Linked DNA regions of Lytechinus pictus. The protein of the gene in region 1 interacts with the protein of each later gene in a pairwise test. Links are inferred from orthologs where the notes say so. Each region holds a gene or a part of one and is shown on either strand. Other genes may lie near its edges.

What was found.
Region 2: the proteins of cyclin-D1-binding protein 1 homolog (region 1) and pre-mRNA-splicing factor SYF2-like interact in binary tests that used the Homo sapiens proteins (3 or more experiments, as listed by UniProt). The link is inferred for Lytechinus pictus from reciprocal best matches to the Homo sapiens genes CCNDBP1 and SYF2.

Annotation. Positions count from the first base shown.
Region 1 is NC_087246.1:67,687,880-67,698,360, forward strand, and holds the start of cyclin-D1-binding protein 1 homolog, read right to left. Parts: upstream 4,013-10,481; 5' UTR 3,876-4,012; intron 1,524-3,875; 5' UTR 1,465-1,523; coding exon 1,383-1,464; intron 922-1,382; coding exon 862-921; intron 1-861. UniProt on the Homo sapiens protein: May negatively regulate cell cycle progression. May act at least in part via inhibition of the cyclin-D1/CDK4 complex, thereby preventing phosphorylation of RB1 and blocking E2F-dependent transcription.
Region 2 is NC_087248.1:5,521,590-5,532,282, reverse strand, and holds the start of pre-mRNA-splicing factor SYF2-like, read left to right. Parts: upstream 1-5,894; 5' UTR 5,895-5,945; coding exon 5,946-5,966; intron 5,967-10,693. Other genes in the region: transcription initiation factor TFIID subunit 12-like, read right to left, coding at 1-23. UniProt on the Homo sapiens protein: Involved in pre-mRNA splicing as component of the spliceosome.

The DNA.
Region 1 (10,481 bases):
GATCTATGCAAATAGCATTTTCAAATTCTGTAAGGTTTTTTGTTTCCCCCTAATTTTTTAATTTACTTTCCCATCTTAGTCAGAAAAGCACCATCAAAGTAATGAGAAAAAAACACAGGCAAGCCTGACATTCTCAAGTTCCAGGGAATGCAGACAAGCTAGACTCTTATATTCAAAGGTAGATCTATAATTGAGAAATTGCCTGAATTGTTTCTCTTACTACATTTAGTTCATCTTGTTATACAACAGATATTTTGAGTGTTAGATTGCGTTGGATTTAACGTTATGGTTGTCAGGATTTTTTTTTTCCTTGAGTCAAACACATTTACAGTCAAACCTAAAATGCTTATCTCTATGAAAATTTTTAGGTAAGAACGAAAGCTTGCACAGTTTATCCTTAGTGATTTAAATGGAAAGAAGTACTTAAAAATTTAAACCATCTTCAACTGCAATAGAATACCAAAGTAATGATATCACAAAAAAAATTAAAAATATATATATATTTTTGCATTTCAGCATTTTAATACCATATCTCGGCGGAGCATGATTAAAAAACCCCCACAGCCCAAATTTGGAAGGGGATCGGGCCAGGGAGCCCAAGATGTGGTCATATGAATGCCTAATTAACCCCATTGGAATCAATGTAAATTGGCTTAGTTCCAACAATTATGTACCAGGTCATACCTTGGAGCACCATGACCCGATTCCCAAAAAAGTTGGTGCGTCAATGTTTTTCACATATGGAATCAAAAAAGCCAAAATGCAATAAATGAAACTTGATAACATCACACTTTGGTACCCTATAGCCAGATGACATCAAATATCAACCTTGATCTACAGTTCTTCAGCTGAATAACCTACCCATTTTGATCCAATATTCAGCCAAATTAAATTCTGCAGCATCCCTAGAAGGCACATCCTCTGAATTAGATGAAAACAATGAAAAAAAGTTTAGTGAAACATTATAGAATGAAGGAAGTGAACATAATTATCATCAATAGATTCTTCATGGGTAAAATTAAGAGAAGGATGAAGAGACTTTAATTTGACTCTCACAAGTGAAATATGAAGGTAATCTAATCAGAACAAAGTACACCTTGAAGTATCCACAGTTAAATTTCAACCCGCAATCATTAAGAATGGGGTAAATAACACTTTTTTCTAATTTGGTTAGAATGATATCTAATATTAGCCATAGTGTTGAGCCCATATCAACGCGATTTCTCAGTTGATCAAGTTTTCCATTGCACCGACCGACCAACCTTCTGTTGTGAGGAAAAGAAGTACTTTCATCCTTTCCCTACTTTTTTCCCCTATGAAATAAACCCACTCACATAATGTCAAGGAAAAGGGATATTAATACCTTTCAAACTGCTCTTTACCTGTTAATTTGTCAACAACAAGTTGCAAATTTTCCACAAAACTTTTGAAGATTTCATCTCTGCTTCTTGGATGAGCTGCCATCTGTCTTACTCTCTGTTGAATGTTTATAGGCTATAAACTGAATGATCCTCTAATAGAACCTTGCAAGAAAAATATACATATTGTCATGATTAGAACATATCATTCACATAAAAGACTTCCACAATATGTACAAATAGGCGTAAGTCTGCTCCCCACTACTATCAAAATGCGGAATTTTATTAGAAATATTGTCACAGTAAACTTGGATACCATACTGTATGTGCACTCATTCAATGAACAAGGTAATGATATAACCTTGTTTTGTTACTATGCACTGTTTGGTGAAACAAGGTTGGCAATGTTTGGCTTATTTTCTATTGTTCTTGGGGATAAATGCTTGATTTTTTGACAACGTCAGTTTCCATTACAGCTATTCATCATATAACTTGGCTCTGAAGTAAATTGAATTCTTTTAATATTTTTTTCTAAATTAAAAATAGAGATTGAAAAATGACAATTTTCTTGCAACTTTACTTTCCACAAAAAAAAAAAAAATATGCCCAAAAATTCAAGTATTTGAGCACTCTGGAGAATACAAAAATGATTCCCAGGTTACTTATGAAAAATAAATTGCAACTTAACTGTATTGAAATTGGTATTTTTAGTCACAAAAGTGATATTTTAATGACATTTTTTGTGTGCTGTGTACTGCATTGGCATACCATAGATAGATCTACATGTAGATTTGCAGGCAAGGCAGTCAGTAGGCAGGTCTCAAAAAGTGGCTTCTCTCATCCAAGTGATATTCATGACTAGAGAGGTTTTGCGTATTTAATGAGCTTGATGGGGACCAAACACCTTTTTTTTCAATTCGTTTCAATAATGGTCTATTAAAACATGCCTCGCAGCCAAAGGCTGAATAAAAACATGTGTACAATTTACAATAACAGAGTAATACTTTAGTACAAACATGAAATGATATAAATTGAATACAATTACTAGTACTTCTTATTATAATACAAGGAAATAAATTGTTGAAAGTAAATAAAATCATACATTGTATTGAACATTATAAATATTAAGTATGCAAATTATAACCACTACAATGAGGCAATTGTACATGCATGAATAAAAATATATTAGAAAAGAGAAGACGGGGAAGGATAAAGACGGCATAGGGAGACAGGCAGAGAAAAAGTGAGTAAGGGGAAAGGGTAATTAAAAGGAGATATAGATAGAAGAACCAAGAGAGGATTGGGCCAGAAAGATGAAGAAAGTAGTGGCAAAGATTAATAAAAACAAACAAAAAGTATGCATGTATGACAAAAAAATTAAGTACAGAGTAGACTGAGTGTGGCAAGGCGGTATAGAATGAGGATGACTATCCTAGCAAATAAAGAAAACTATATCTATCATATCGTCAGGGGGGGGGGTCAACAAATATATCTAGTTCTCACCTCTTTTAATTCAGTAATTGCTGCTCTAAATATTTATCAAATTTCATGATTTGGGGATTATTGAAGAGAAGAATCACTCTTTCAGTTCATGTGTTTGAATTTATTTCAAGACTTTGTAATGTAGGTGAAACTTGTGATCTAAAATATGCTACAAAATAATTCTTTTCACCTGACAAAAGTTTTTATTTTTACACTTTTTTACACTCTCTGTTATATTGGTTGTTCCGCTGAACTACGTTGGCTCCATCACCAATTAGAGACCGAAGTTCTAACTCGATTTGCACAGGGACTCAATAGAGTCAATGGCCATATGTTTAAGTATTAAGTTTGGATAAACCAGGGAGTGGGAGTTGCGCGACAGCCGAAGTAAGTCACTGTTTTTCCTTTTAAATTTTTTTTTTCCTGTTTTGGTGCATTTCAGGCCAAAACAGAATATAATCTTTGACTTTATTTTGGTCAAGTTCTTTTTAATTAGGCCTAGGCCCTATATCAAAATTATCATATGTTTATGAAATAAAGACAAAAATCGATGAGCCCGATCAGGGGGGATTTTGCATTTTTAACCCCTATTGGCGGCTGCACGATCGTGAGCCATCTCATCTGTGTACGAGAAATGAAAAAAAAAAATGTTATTGTTATTATGTTAACAAAACTCCCCGAAACAGACGGCCGCCAGCTGTCTAGTCTAATCTCGCCAACATTGTCCTGATGGAATTGGATTATAGGCATGATAGGGTAGTGATGAATCAGGGAGCAATAAAATTGCACAATACTTGTGCAAATAAAATTTATATTGTCCATCTAATTATTAGTATTTTACGTTGCATGCTGAATGCGCAATTCGCCTGCGGGCACTTAGTTTTGCCAAATTAGGCCTACGCAGAATTCTACATGTGGGACACCTCTCGCGAGTCTCGGCTCTTGTCGCAGACATAGATTTAGATCTATACTACAAGGAAATGAGCTACAATTTTTAGTAGAACTACATATTCAGATTAACATAACTGTACTTACTACAAATTGTTTTGTAAAGGAAGATTAAAACGACTTGCTTATTGGAAAATATGAAAGAAGAGAGCAGGAGATTCACACAAAACTTCTGACACCGGTAATGGCTGAAAGTATCAAGAATTTCAGTTCAAAATGTGTATGGTATCACTAAATTAAGAGGTGATATCGTAAAGTGATCAGAGAAATTCTAGCACTTGCTCCCCCCCCCCCAAAAAAAAAAAAAAATAAATAAATATATATAGTGTGATGATAAGTTTACTTCTACCAATCGCTGTTGAGTTGTGAATATTAAACATAATGAGATGAGGCGAGGCCAACTCAACAGATGACGCAGGACACCATTGTTTGCTTTAGCTTTCGTCTTTTAATTGAGACTTCGTCAGAAGCGTCTGAAAAATATAAGGAGATACAACATCCAAGTTTGTGCAAAACAAACTTGGATGTTGTATCTCCTTATATTTTTCAGACGCTTCTGACGAAGTCTCAATTAAAAGACGAAAGCTAAAGCAAATAATGGTGTCCTGCGTCATCTGTTGAGTTAATTGGCCTCGCCTCATCTAACGATATTACGTTCCGCGTGTTGGACATAGAAGATATTAATGAGGCAAAGTGGTAATGCATTGTACTTAGTTCCAACAGTTTATTTATATATATATATATATAAGTTGCTTCCGCCCCCTATGCCTGCGTCGCAATGGTTCTTAATTGATGTTAAATTAAACAGTGCTTAACTTGATTAACTCGATCTTCACACTCGCATAAATTTTGGTTATTAAGAATCTGAGATACGACACTCGTTCTTTATTAAATAGCGTGCTTCAAATGTCCGAAGTTTAGATCGGAATACCAAAATGTTCAGCTCGCGTTTAGTGCTCGAATCATTTCTGTAGCAAGACACCCATCCTTTTCATGATTATCAAAAAAGTGAATAGAAAGTTCAAACCTTAAACAGCTCGCGTTTCACAAACAGTCATTGACAGGTCCCTTTTCATGCTTTGGGGTCAGTATACATAGTACAGATTTCAGCTCACGCCTCTCGCTCGCATCAATTTTTTATTTCACTATCATTGATACAAAAAAGGCTTAAAGCAAGGTTTCCACTTTGGCGAGTTGGAGTTGCGAGTCATACGCGAGCTGCGCGAGCTCTAACTCGCCTTAGCTCGCACAAGCTCGCGTGAAATTTACATTTTCCCCTGGAATTTGCTTGAGTGACAAACGACTCAACATCGAGTTCACTACGCTCGTTGTACGAGTGAACCGAGCGCGAAACGAGTCAGGCCGAGCTTAGTATGAGTTGCGGTGACCTTTATACGACTTAAAGCGAGCTATGAACGAGTTATAAAGATGTTGTTACGAGTGATAAGAGTTTCATACGACCAAGGGGCGGGAAATGCACATTTTTGGCACTCAAAGATGGATGCCGGCGGAGGCGGCGTCAACACCAAATCTTAACCGAAGGTTAAGTTTTTGAAATGGCATCATAACTTAGAAAGTATATAGACCTAGTTCATGAAACTTGACCATAAGGTTTATCAAGCATTACAAAACATCCTTCTCGAGTTTCAGGTCACAAGACCAAGGTCAGAGATCATCTATGGTCAATGAACGTAGACCATGTTTAGGGAATCAACATCAAAATCTTAACGGTTAAGTTTTTGAAATGTCATCATAACTTAAAGAATATATGAACCTAGTTCATGAAACTTGGACATAAGGTTATTAAAGTATATAAACATCCTGCTTGAGTTTCAAGTCACATGACTAAGGTCAAAGGTCAATTAGGGTCAATGGACTTTGGCCAATTGGGGTATTTGTTAAATTAACATTATAACTTTGAAAGTTTATGAATCTGATTCATGAAACTTGAACATAAGAGTAATCAGGTATCACTAAACATCCTGTGCGGATATCAGGTCACATGTCCAAGGTCAAAGGTCAATGAACTTTAGTGATATGTTCGGGTGATCTGTTGAATTACCATCATAACTTTAAAAGTTTATAGATCTGATTCATGAATCTTGGATATAAGAGTAATCAAGTATTCCTGAACATCCTGTGCGAGTTTCAGGTCACATGACGAAGGTCAAAGGTCATTTAAGGTCAATAAACTTTGGCCATGTTGGGGGTATTTGTTGAATTACCATCATAACTTTGAAAGCTTATGGATATGATTCATCAACTTGGATATTAGAGTAGTCAAGTATCACCGAACATTTCATGCCAGTTTTAGGTCACATGACCAAAGTCAAAGGTCATTTAAGGTTATTGAACTTTGGCCATTTTGGAGATTAATACTATATTGCTGTCATAACTTTCAAAGTTTAGATACAGTTTATAAAATGTGGATATAGGGGTAATCTAGTATCACTGACAAGTCTTAGGTCACATGATAAAGGTCAAATGTCATTTATTGTCAATGAACGTAGTATTGTATCAATGTATGAATGGTGTTTTTGTGAATAATTATTTTATAATAGTTTTCAGAGTCAGCACTACTTCTATATTGGATAGCGTGATGCAGGTGAGACTGCCAGAGGCGCTCCACTTGGACCTTAATTGTCTAGTTTGATGTCTTGTTCTTTTACCTTGGCTCTGCATGCTCATCATTGACCTCCTCTTCCGTTTCAATTGTCTCTTCCTGCACTTCTTCTACCCTTGTTTGAATGTCATCTTCTTTCGCTGTTTCCCTATCTGAATGGCCACAACTCTTGGATCTTTTGGATCGAGGCATATTTCTCTCCTTATTTTTTGAAAGTTGTAATAATGCAGTGGAAACAGCCTTTTTAAAAGTACGTGTACATTGCGTGGGTCAGTTAAAATGTGCTCTCACTTTAAAATAAACTCCTCAAAAAAAGTTTGGAAATCCGACTTTAATCAAAACTCCCTCCTCAGTTTTAGTAAATATCAATTGTTATTAATATCAATGAATAGATCATTTAAGTGTCTTTAAAATGATACCCTACATGATATGATTATGGTTCACATGGAGGTGCAGTGCCTTGAAATGTAGGGCAAGGTCAAAATTCAAAATTAAGTTGCAAAGAGACACAATATTGAAAGTCACTGTTCCTTTTTCCGTGGTGATGAGTGAGTATTTTAAGCGGTTTCTTTTGAGTTTGATTGGTAATCCCGCCTCGGTTTTAGTAAATATCAATGTTGAATTAATATCAATGAATAGATCATTTAATTTTCTTTAAAAAGATACTTTCCATGATATGATTTTGGCTCACATGGAGGTGCAGTGCCTTGAAATGCGGGGCAAGGTCAAAATTCAAAATTTGCAAAATGACACAATATTGAAAGTCACTGTTCTTTTCTTCCATGATGATGAGTGAGATTCTCAGCAATTGTTTTCATGCACCTTAACATCAACATTCAAATGGAATCAAACACACCTCTGCACAAGCAAACACACAACAAACAAACATAAACCACAACAAAACATTATGAAATGAAAAAGCAGGGGTTTGATTTGAATGGATTTTCATCTTTATTGACACAGACAAAAAAATCATGTTCTGTATTGACCCTTCATGATTACTTCTGCTCGTTTTGCAGCTTTTTACTTCAGACCTCATCCAACACTTATTAATTTTGCTCTTTTTTGATGGCATGATCATAACAAGCATGGGATCATTTTAAAGAGAATCAAATGATCTTTTAAAATATATCAAATATGCATTGTGTAAAATTTGGAGTCGGGATAAAGTAATGGCCAAACTCAGATTTCCAAACCTTTTTGCTCGTTTTGCAGCTTTTCAATTCAGACTTTATCCAACACTTTTGAATCCTGCTCTTTTCGTAATGGCATGATCATAACAAGCATGGTATCATTGTAAAGAAAATTTCATGACCTTTTAAATGATGTCAAAATAATATGCAATGTGTAAATTTTGGAGTTGGGAGAAATTAATGCCCAAAATCAGATTTCCAAACTTTTTTTGAGGGGTTTATATGTGGGGAAAATATAGATCACTGGACATTTATCATTCAGCTGGCATGCCTCTGAGCAATTGCAACGCACTCGGAATAAACTCATACGAAACTCGCTGTAACTCGGGGTGCTCGATCTAAAGTCGCGCTAATCTCGTGGGCACCTCCATTTGACTCGTAAAACGATCGCAATGCTCGTATATCGCTCTTGAAAACTCGGAACGCACTCGCGTATACTCAGATGTGGCGAGTTATTACGAGTTATTGTGAGTTTATCTCGAGCTTCTTACGAGTTATTGCGAGTACTGCGAGTATATAACGAGTTTAGGTGAGTTCAGCACGAGTTACAGCGAGTTAGCAAAATTTTTGAACATGTTCAAAAATTTTGAAACAGCTCACGACTTCAAGGAGAGTTGTCCCGAGCTTGAATGAGCTCCGCCGAGCTCCGCCGAGTTGTCGCGAGTTATCCCGAGTTTCATGGTGAGCTTTATGCGAGTTATCGCGAGTGCCTCATTTTGGCAACTCGCTATAACTCGCCATAACTCGCGATGTTAACTCGCCAAAGTGGAAACCTTGCTTTAGGTTTTCATGTCAGAATATATTAAACATATTCATTGTTTTCGCATTAATTGGTTGGTGAGATAAGTACCTTCTCCATAACAGTTCTAAACAATTTTCGGATTAATTAGTATACTAGCTACAAGTTTGAGCTCGCGCTTTGCGCCCGCATTAATTGTTTAGATCTAAGTTACTTAGATCCCCATTGATCACCAGTACCAAAATCTGTGGAGCGTTCATTTATCAGAATACATAAACTGAAGATTAAAAAATGATATTGCATGTCTGCATTATTTAAAGCGGCTGATCGGGGAAAATGTAGATGATTTTTTTTTAAATTAACCACCCCCCCCCCGTATTTGCGAAAGCTAGATTTGTCCTGAGGAGGTTCACTCTTTATAATTCGGAACCCCCTCATAGAAAATCCTGGCTACGGCCCTGATTTAGGATATATTGAGAGAAATGGAGTTTAACGAGTTAATGAAAATCATTCACTGTAATCAATATAATTATAATATTTGAAAAAGGTTATATTTATTTTTATTAAAGTGATGGTCTTTTTGAGTTTTTCTGTATAATATATCACTTTATATGTTTGTCATTTTGCCTCCGACGAAGATTCTGCTAGGATCGAAAGCTTAATTAGGCCCCTTTTGACTCTCTATTTTATGTCAATTTTTAAAATGAAATACAAAACATTTTTCTTCTAAAAGGCACATAATCTTTACTGTTTAGTGCACCCAGTTGTTAGAAAGTCATTTGGAAAAATTTACAAGCGAAATTTCATCAATTTTTAGTACAAAATGTTAGGAAATATTATGAAGAACAAAATAGAAGATGATTAGAACTATTGAATTAATAGTTTTAGTGTAATCCAAAGACAACTTCGGCTTCAAAATATAAAGTGTCCGGACACCCGACCCCCATCCTACTATAATTGACGTTAACTGTCGATATCTTCAGGCCTATCTCATACGCCGGATATAGGGAGCTATACTCCGATGATCTCGATCTCACAAGTCACAGAACTTCATTTCAGAAGTCATGGAACTTGCTGATATAAAGTCTCATGGAAAAGTCCTCGAAATTTTTGAAGATCTGTAAGTAATGATTGTTTATTGTATTGATCATCGCGGAAAGCATTGCTCTAGAACCTTTCAAGAACCTATTTAACGCTAGCCAGTGGTCTATACCGGTAGTATAACTATAAAGCGGTTCGAAGTTGAGTGAAGCCCGCGGAGTTTGAATGAAGTTGGTTGCGGCCCTGGCCCTCGGGGCGACTCGGCCCACTTGCTCACTGCAACCATCCTGCCTGTGGGGAATCTACAGGTAGGACTATGGTATGCCAATGCAGTGTATCCTATTAAGTATTAGTATTACCACTCATCCTACGGCTACGAGTACGAACGAGGTTATAATTAATACCTACCTTGAGATCGAGCGAAGTTTGTGCAGGCTCCACTTCACTACCTACCGGCCGCTACAGGCAGTTTATAATCACTCGCGTCGCGTGCGAGTTCGTAATCACTCGCGTTTTGAATTTTTGGCGATTTTTTATTTCGGTGCGATTTTTTTTATTACCTTTATTACCTTTATTACCGGATCTACTGGAAAAATGCAATTACTTATGCAGTCGTGTTTCCAGGTCTATCACTGTTGCTATCTCCATCTAACTATTAAAATAACGTGTGCCTGTGTGCTGTGCCAGAGTTACTATTCCCAAGGGTGAGTATATTGCACTGCAGACCAAAACTTGTCTAACTGTGACTTGAATCTGTTCAAGGTTGATGCAGTAACTATCTCTGCCGGCAAGGAGTTCCAGTCATTTACAACTCTGGCACTGAAAGTATTTTTTCTAACATCCAGTCTGCTTCTCTTCACATACAATTTGCATAGATGTCCACGTGTTGTCTGAGTTGATGCAGATGTAAAGAACATCTCCTTGTTCAAATCATCAATGCCATTGATGATCTTGTACGTCTGTATCATATCCCCTCTTCGCATTCTGTACTGAATGGAAGGTAACTTCAAGGAACGAAGCCTTCTACTGTAGTCTTGATCTTTCAATGATGGCACCAACTTGGTCGCACGTCGCTGAACTTTTTCAATGGCTTTAAG
Region 2 (10,693 bases), on another chromosome or scaffold:
TTGGTTGATGTCTGAGGATTCATGGTCAAGAACTAAATGGAACTAAACAAAATCAAAGAGAATGTTATTTATGCAACACCTGATCCTGATGAAAATAGTATCAAGGCAGATACAGAATGGGTAGATGACTGTCAAGACCTACATGTAGTGTATATGGAACAAAAGAAAATCGTAGAGAGCACCTAAACCAGGCTCGAATAAACCCACAGCAAACCAACGCAAAAGCCTCTCAGACTAATGCCCTCACAATGGCATCGATGCCCTTTTAAATATTTACAGAATTAGGGCTAAAATTGCAAGCCCCTTTTTCTTGAGGCGTTGGTGGCCTGTCTAACCCAGTGCAAGTGTCCTATTGAAAAGTACGTTTTACTATTGATGCCCTTTTAATGGCCTTGGATGCCCCTTAACATGAGTATCACCTTCCCTCTTCATCAAGTGCCCTTTTAAAAATGGTTTTGCCTCTCTGGCCCGTATTCTGAAGTCAGGTTTAACTTAGACCATGGTCTAACTTTGTGCTAAAATTATGGGAAGCCAAATATGTCAAAATTATGTTTTCATAATTTCATTGAATGCTTCTAATGCAGAGCTGCCAACATTGGGATGATAGAATCCAGTAGATTTCGCGGAGGTATGATTTTGTGAGGGAGCGGCGGAACGTTGTCCCACGGATGGGAGTTTTGGGTAGCAAAACACATTAGGAAACAACATTTGATAGTAACCGACAGCTGTCTAAACCATCAAAAAAAATTCTGATAGATTAAATGCACATTAGAGAGAATTCATGAATTGTCATTGACTAAATATACACTTCAGGCAATATACAGTAGATTTTTTTTAATAATTCATAAAAGAATGAATTCAACATGAAAATACCTTTATAATTGGCCAGAGGGGGAAGGGGCTGCAGAAGTGGTAAACATGGTAAATGAGCTTTATATGTGGACTGTTTAAAGTCTCTGAGGGATTCCTGTGAAAATTGTCACACAGTCCCATTCTGCTTGAAAACTATCTTTATACTTCGACAAGTATTTTGTCGTCTTGGATGACTCCATCTCCATGATCTCCATGGTCACTGGCGATGCGATTGTAGTGTGGATGAATCGGGACGCACAGCTCAGCCAGCCAGCGCCAGGCTAGCTCACTCACGAAACTCGAAAGAGAAAATGTTCGAATCCGATCAACCCAAGTGAAAGTAGGCGAAAAAATCTCCACTTTGCTTCTAATTCTTCAAGATTGTCAATAAAATTATTCCTGAAATTGAAAGTCGAGGTGTAAAAAAGTAATCCACTTGTTAATCCCATCGTTGATCCACAGTTTCAGCTCGAATAAGGCGCACGCAAGCTTACGAAAAATGCCTCGCAGTGCTCGTGAACTTTAATTCTCGGAGCTTCCTGGCGCAGCGCGGCGGGCTGGAGCCGCGCCGGGGCGCATCGGGGGCCATGTGCATGGAGTACCGCTGAAGAGTTTTCATCACACACACATGCAGAACCCGGAAATAAAATGGCTTGTTAGACTACTTCACCAGTCGTTCAGTAAAATTATCTTTATTTACATGCGAAATTAATGTACGATTATACAAAAACTGGTAGAAGTTACTGGGTAAAATGAAAATGTGATAAGGTGGTTCCACGTTGGTGTTAGGGAGTTGAACATGCTAGACTCGTTAAACAGTCGTTTGTACGAATTTTACAATTTAACAGCTAAAAATCCTGATTATCCGGGAGATTTTGGCATGGGGTCGGGAGAACGGGAGATTGGATCGTAATCCAGTATTCTCCCGCAGGATCCGGGAGACTTGGAAGCTCTGCTAATGTTCACTGTGCTCTTTCCTAATTGCGTTATGGTGAAGACAACTATCTTATTCATCCTTCCCAGACAATTAAGAATTATTTGAGACTAAAATGAGCTGATACATTCAACCTCTACTTTTACAGAATTATGCGACAACTGGCTTCCCATAGTTAAACCACAAATTTAAACCAGAGTTTAAATTAAACCTGACTTCAGAATATGGGCCTCTGAATTCTTAATTCGAGCCCTGCATACATGTAACCCATGATGATCCAAGTAAAGTAAAACAAGCGTTCTGGAGAACGAGGCAGGAGGAAAGTTAGGAAATAATAAAAATTCAAGAGGAGAAAAGAGAAAAACAAAGGAGATGAACAAACTACATGTAGATTGAATAGATTCACATGATCTATCATGTGAATCTATTCAATCTACATGTAGTTTTTCTCTTTTCTCCTCTTGAATTTGTATTATTTCCTAACTTTCCTCCTGCCTCGTTCTCCTTCTTCTCTTGTTCTCCACCTCGTTCTTCTTTGTCTTGATTTTCTCCTCATTTTCCTAGTATTATTATCCTCCTCCTCCTATTTCACAACCTTATTATTGATTATCATGATTTATTTAAAGGTCAAGTCCATCCCAGAAAAATGTTGATTCGATTAAAAAGACAAAAATCAAACTAGCATAATGCTGAAAATTTCATCTAAATCGGATGTAAAATAAGAGTTATGGCATTTTAAAGTTTCGCTTATTTCCCACAAAACAGTTGTATTCACAACTCAGTGACATGCAAACAAGACAGTCGATGATGTCCCTCACTCACCATTTCTTCTTTTTTTATTGTTTCCATTATACAATATTTCATTTTTTACAGATTCAACAATAAGGGCCTACTTAACTGAACCATATAGTATTAGAATAATGCAAATTCCAGGTGTTCTGGGAGGAATTAATCTTTGTTTCACTTGACAATGAGGAGAAAATTAGAGTACTTCACATTTCATTTAATAAAATTGGGATTGCCTCAGTTTACAGGGACGGTCTCAGTTTTCAAAGATTTCTCCACACAAGAGAATAAGGAAGTTCAATCACCTGTCTAGTGCCAACACCAATCAGTGTGCTAGTCAATGTAAACATATATCAGGTTTCATGTTATATAATAATTAGTATATACTACTAATTATTTATAATTGCATATCAAATTTTAGTATTTGTGAAATAATAAATTTTATCTATAAATTGTTCTTCAAAACGGCATCGCTGATCGGATGTACGTCATGACGAAGCGGTTCAAGGGTCAGGCCTATTGTCTTTGCTTTGTTGACAAACGGATCGAGGGATCTACAGGAGATCGGTCTGGTAAGAAACGTCTCATTTTTACCATTTATAGTGAAATAATTTTTATCCCTTTATACGCATTAGGCGCATGAAGGTTCATAGATAAATAAAGTTCACCCCTACAAACCGATTTCACCCTCTAACTATGGATTTCCTAGGGAAATCCATCTTTGTGTACATGTGTCTCTTAATACTCATATTATTAATAGTATGGCCGGCGGTTCAAGACTCCATTTTGAAGTATATGTCAAAATATTTAAAAAACATCATCATGGAGTCCTCAAGACTAGGCTGCACGATCGTGAGCCATCTGTACTCTGTGTAAGACCTCTTAACTTTAGACTGTAAGACAAGAGGAGAAAAAAAAAAAAAAAAAAACAAATTTAAAACTCCTCAAAACAGACGGCTGCCGGCTGTCTAGCTAGTGCTACTGCTAGCGAATAGCAATCAAAATGACCTCTTGCCATCCTGAAATGAAAGTAATATAATCAAATTGCTAAAATTGTAAATACTAGTATAGTCACGTATTGTATCACCGGACACTATCATGATTCCGGACGCGCATATTACTGCGTTCTAAAACAAATTCGTACCATAAGACTTCCGCAATTCAATTTCACAGAGCAATACATAGAACAAGATTGCAAAAACAAGGCAAAAAATCCAACGTTTACCTAATTATCTCTAAAAATGACAGAAAATGCTTAAAATATCATATAACATAGTTTTGTATTAACAATTGATATATTTTCTAACGGATATATGGGCCTGATTTGCCGAATTTCAATCTTGTCCACTCCTTCGATCGAATGATGAGGTGTGGTGTATTGTGGGTGATCGTCGATGGCTAGTTCTCAAGGTACCCGTGCGCAAGGTTTACCGTGAGTAAAGCTAGAGCCGTCGATCGGCAGCGCATCGATAGAACTTGATGAGCGTCACGATCGAACGCGAGCATATTATTATTGGAAAGTGCCATGGAACATGCAGCTAACAAGACAAAATAAAATAAGTTATCAAACACGAATTTATTACCAACATCTGCTCAGATTCGATACAAAAAAAACAAATAGGGAGGCCTAATACTTAGATTTACTCATGATATGATATAAGAAGAAAAAAATCACACAAATTTGCTCTTACATCATTATAATCAAGGATATCTTTACCCGTCCGGCGCGCGTCCAGAATCATGATGTAATTTGTCGCGCATGAAAATAATTGTTTTTCGTGGAGGGGTATGCGGCAAGTGCGATGCAAAGGCAAAGCCAAAGAAAATGGTTGGTAAATATAAAATAATTTTATCATATTCATAATTTTCATATTTGGAATAGCAGGTGTGAATTTTTCTTGAATGTATTTCCTCTAGTTGTCATTTTTAAAGCACTGAAATAAAGGTGTCCGGCAATAGGATACACTGCCATACTTAAGCTAATAGTGCCAGTGCCTGGTTAGTCCAGTTCACAGCCCTGGGGCGGTATTCTGAGGTCATTTTATCTTTAAAATATTTTATTTTATCTCTTAAAATGAAATTGGTATTCTGAGATGACATTTTATCTCTCAGATAAAATTAAAAATTTTATCTTGAGTATAAATTTTATCTTGCGTATCTATGATGATACACAACAAAGCAGTGGCTGCGTAGACATACCCATCGCGTATCTGGCCATTGCAACGCGGGTGATGTGCTTGCGCCCAAGTTACTTTGAAGAAAAAAATAAAATAAACTTAAAAGAGGGTAAGGGCTATTTTATCTCCGCAACGTTGATTTCGTCGATATTTCTAGGTGAATTAACTCCAAATGTTAGCATGAAAATTAAGAAAAATGATATATTCATTGAGAACAACACCTTAAAGTTATTCCTGTACAATCAGGAAGCATTTCATAAGACTTTTCTTGACTAATATTGTCTTTGAAATGATGCTTGAAAAGATGCGATATAGACTTCGAAAAAAAGATGAGATTATTTCCATTTTTGTTAAAAAGAAATCTCTGTAAGGACGCGCAGGCGTATAGTGCAAGCGTATTGAAGTCAATAAATTGACGCAATCTCACTCCTTCGCCACACCTCCTAGCGGAATGGATTTCCATTGGTTGAGTGATATGAGAGAGCTATAAAAGCGCGTTTCTAATTGGATATTGATTAAAAAATAGGTGTGTCTTACAGAGATAAAATGGAGATAAAATTGTTCTCAGAATACCAATTCGGAGAGATTTTAAGGGTATTTTATCTCACTGATTTTAACGGAGATAAAATATTTTATTTTATCTGAGATAAAATGGATCTCAGAATACCACCCCTGAGCATGCAGGGTTGGAGCAACCCGGCGCCGGCCTGGCCCCGCAGGCGGACTACCGGAGTCCCGGCGGGGACAGCTGTCGAGTGTCGTAGCAAGTGCACCTTCGACCACGCTATTGCCGCTAGAAACATGAAAATATAGACTTTGCACTTCTTTAATCTAGTATTTCTAAATGTCAACATCTAACATTTTACCTAGATCTGGCAGACTTTACCGACAGAATACTAGAAAAAGGTGTAAATGAAATTTTAAAAACCTCACCACTGACAGAAACTGGCAAACAACAACGACCCACAACTACAAGCCACACCAATTTGCAATTTTTGCTCCGATGTAGTCGAATATTCGAAGCAATAATTCTAAAAAAGTAATACTTTTAAAATTAATGATAATAATAATAAAAACTTTAAAAATTTATGAAATATTTTTTATTTCATTATTTTTGCTGATATAAAATTTTCCTCTTCGTATTTTTTATTTGAAGATTTGTTTAATGTAGAGCGAGGACATTATTTCGTACAACAATGGCAGCTTCCTGTGATCAGGTTAGAATTTATTTTCATTATTTTTTGTCAGATACAATTAGTTCTGGTAGAGTAATTATCATCATGGCGTGCTAGTTATCTCTGTATAGTGTATTTTAGTAATAAATGTTGGTATTTGTGATGTTCATGTTATTGTTGATGGCCCTGGCTTCGGCATTCCTACTCGTCGCGATCGCGTCAACGTCCCAGAACCTCCGCAGATTTCATCTGTTCGAGGCGCAAGCCAGCCGCGCCGGGGAACTAGCGGCCCAGGTTCTGGTCATGATGAACACTGCTTTATTTCGGCGGGGGTACGAAAGTGCACTAGCGCCATACTAATCTAAAATCTGTCACCTCTCTTCTGTAAAGAGCATGACTGCTAACGTCTAACGATTTAAGTCATGTTTCACTATAATACTGTAAACAGGAGAAAAGGAAGTCTGCAGTGTTTTGGAGCAATTGAATTATAATACTATAAATCAGAGCTGTGACTCTTTTGTGAGCTGTGTGAGGTTTATCACAGGACAGGTGACTACACATCTCGCAACCCAGCCCCAGGCAGCATCACCAGCATGAGAGAAAAGCTAAAACACTATCCTCAAGACGACAAGTCCTGAACTTCTGAAGTTATCTTCCTTCTTCAAGGTGGTCGAGGGGTTGGTCCCAGCTAGCCTGGAGGCGTCTGGAGAGTAAAAATCATGGTACTATACGTACCCTCACTCTCCAAACGCCTGGAGCGGCTTAGTATGCCTCGCTATAGAGGCTAGGATTACCCAAAAAATTTAGGTCTAGTTTCACCAATTTCTATTTTTTGTGAATCGCCCAAACTTTTGTACATGGGCAAGTTTTATGTTTACCCCCATTTTTTATCAAATTTGTATATTTTTATTTCTTTATTATTCTTAAAATGGAAGAAAATTAAGAGCAAGAGTATTCACTTACCCCGTCTGTTTACGTCGCCATTTTGCAGTCTTTTGTTATCGATACCTAGATACCAAACGCGTGCAGAGCTGCAACTTAAATTTTAAAATTACTTGCATTTGCCGATTAATATCACGATTCATAAAATATTTGTTTCGGTTAATAAATATCATAAATTAATTTATGTGATATTTATTGATTAAAACAAATATTTTACGATTCCTGATATCTATCGGCAGATGCAAGTAATTTTTTAATCCAAGTTGGCAGCTCTACACTGTAGAGCTGCGTTTGGTATCTAGGTATCGATAACAAAAGACTGCAAAATGGCGACGTAAACAGACGGGGTAAGTGAATACTCTTGCTCTTAATTTTCTTCCATTTTAAGAATAATAAAGAAATAAAAATATACAAATTTGATAAAAAATGGGGGTAAACATAAAACTTGCCCATGTACAAAAGTTTGGGCGATTAACAAAAAATAGAAATTGGTGAAACTAGACCTAAATTTTTTGGGTAATCCTAGCCTCTATAGCGAGGCATACTAAGCCGCTCCAGGCGTTTGGAGAGTGAGGGTACGTATAGTACCATGATTTTTACTCTCCAGACGCCTCCAGGCTAGTCCCAGCCCTTCCTATTGAGAATTTCTTGACTAAAATAAGGCCAAAACGGAAAGTCAAAACAAAACAATTTAATGACTTTCAAGCACAGAATATCTTAGAAAGACAAGTACTAGTGAACCACAATAAAGGTTACACTATTCAATCAACAAACACTGAACAATTAAAACAATCTTTTTTGTGAGTACCCCTCTGGCTTGGAACCATCTCCCACCTGACTAGAGGTGTTCAAGTCAAAGATCGAAAAGAGCTACCTACGATACGACTAAATATCACCGTGCCTTCTCTCACCCGCTGCATTCATACCAATTGGTCCAGCAGTGTACACATCCTGATCCAGAATTAATACAATTTTTTTAGTTACAAAATAAAAAAGTTCAAGTTCGTCTTTATTTATTTAGGATCTATCAAAAGTATCATATAGACTATCAAAAATTTGTTTTGTTCACAACTTCAAGTCGATAAACGTGAAAAATGCCATATTAAACATATAAAGCCATTAAAAGTAGATCTAATACATCATTATAAGAAATCGAAAGTAAATACCCGTTTACATAAAGACTAAAGCCATAACCATAAAGTCAGAAGTGATAACATTAATTCCAAAAAGTTACTGTACTGCCTCCAAAGAGGTTTAAAATACATGTGTGTTATCAGCATTTCATTAAAGTTTAAAAATGTCCTTCCAATAAAAATAGCATGAAGTATTAGCATGTTAAATCCTAAAAGCTATACTGTTTTGCTGTCAAAAAAAATTAAATTAGATGTGTGTAATCATTTTATCACAAGCAGTCTAGCATTTCAAAAATTCATTCATTTCAAATTCATTGAAGCATGAAGTAATACAAAAATACCATGTTTTCCAATAAATGAACAGCATCTTTTTTCCCGCTTCATAATCTTGAAAAGTCAGTTGCGGTTTATCCAAAGAAACATTTAATTGTCATCAATAAGCTGACTTTAACTGTTAGGTTTCTTCATTGTTTGAATTTTCTGGAACAACCAAGAAACATAGAATGTTTAAAGGGAAATCCAACCCAAATAAAAGTTGTTTTATAAGGAAACAAAAAATCAGACAAGTTGATAGGTGAAAATTTGAACAATATTGGACAAACAACAAGAAAGTTATGAATTTTAAAAGTTGTAAATATTGGTAATCACTATACCCATGGAGACTTCAAATTGGCCGCATATGGGATGTCATAGTGATGTAAGGCAAGGACTACTATTCCATGTACTCCAATACATATTATGGCTAAAATGTCATTTTTCCAAAAAGTTTTATTTCAAATTATATTTTTCTTTCATGAGGACATACAACAATATACTACCTGGGTTATATTTAGATTACTGCCCCAGGGGAATGGGTACTTAGGAGAAAAACACAAATCCCTGATAATAAAGTACATGGCCTATGGGAAAGTTATCCTTGCCCCATGTCATAATTTACTTACGCAGTTGCCAATTTGAAATCTACATACATGTAGTATTAGTGATCTCAATTTTAAAGCAGCTATAACTTTCTTATTGCTTGTCCGATTTCTTTCAAACTTTCACCGTTCTGTTTGATTTATTTTTCTCCTTCCCAACACAACATTTTATGGCCAAGGCTGGATTCCCCTTTAATATAATTATTTGTTGGTTAATAAAACAATTAATTTTTGGTAAGACAGTCTTTATTGAAAAAATTCTTTATAAAGGTTGTTTTATTCATTTGATTACTATTGATTTAATGTTTTTCTTTAAAAAAAAACCTGGTTGTTTTGTGATGAAATTGAAAACTTGTTTTTTACAGCTAAAACTGCATGGAAAATGCTCTACAATTTGCATGTAATCGTAATCGGTTATAAAAAAAATGCAATAAATTATGTCCTTTTTTCTTCATTTATTTTCCACCTTTTTCTCTCAACAATTTTTTTTTTTACTTTTTCCCTTTTCATACTGTAACTTTGATATTCAATACTGCCATTTCATGATCTTTTTTCTTTATTCTACAAAGAAATAATTTATATTCTTCGAAAAATAAAAAAATTTAAAAAAGTTTTTTAAAATACCAAAATTAATGATATACATGTACAATGTATCGTCTGATCTTTGAATGATTAATCAGTAAAAATGTTATCACCTGCCAATATTTTTTTAACCACCAGATTTTTGGGCTGCTGTTTATTTTCTGGAAATTATGGTAGTTACATCATATATTGTGCCTATGTAAGACATAAAAACACCACTTTTTGCTTTGGATTTTCTTGAAATTCATGCATTAAATGGCAAAAATAAATACTTTTTTTTTTTAAATATTGTCCGAGACTGATAGTGATACTAGTCCACTAGTCTACAAGTAGTAGCAGATCTAGTAAAAATGTAATTATGAAATGGTGATCACAAAGTTCCGAAATTACTTTCTTAAAATTTCTGTAAATTTTATGTAATTTTCATCGTTATGAGGATTATTTTGATATATTTTTTATGGCAAATTATGAGCTTTCTAAATATTTTTGTTGTACAAACATATGTACCTATGCATGTATTGTAAGGAGGGTTGGGCTAAATTACAAGGTAATTGATCCATTACATTAATTTAATTTAATTTTGTAAGTAATTGTAATTGTATTTGGAAATTTTGAAAGGGAAAGTAATTATAATTGAAAAAAATGTAATTGGACTTCAATTACTGTCAATTACTTTTAATTACATCAATTACTTTACAATAAATTACTTAATTTATGATTTGATTTCATGACTTTTTACATGTCAACTGATTCAGCATCAAAGAGTGTAATAGGCAGAATCCACGCTCTTTAACTTGTCAGTTTCTTTGTAACTTAGAATTGTGTTGAAATACATGTACATGTAGGTGGTGTTAGTAGATATAGATAATCATACAGAATACAAATTTATTTCATTTATGAATTTTGTAGAAAGTATTTGAAATTGTAATTGACAAAAGTAATTGGTTATTTTAATTGACGAAAAAATGTAATTTAATTGAAAAGTAACTTGTGTAATTGTAATGGAAGAAAGTAATTAAGCCCAATCCTGATTGTAAGTGTAAAGTTTGTGGTTGTTGCATTTCTCCTTTTATTAGAATTGAAACTTTATGCTCTAGAAAATCTAAAAAAATGTACATGTATCTTCCAGTACTGCAATTGTGAGCAGAAGTTTGCTGATGGGATAATAAGTAATAACGCATTTTATATTTCCTGA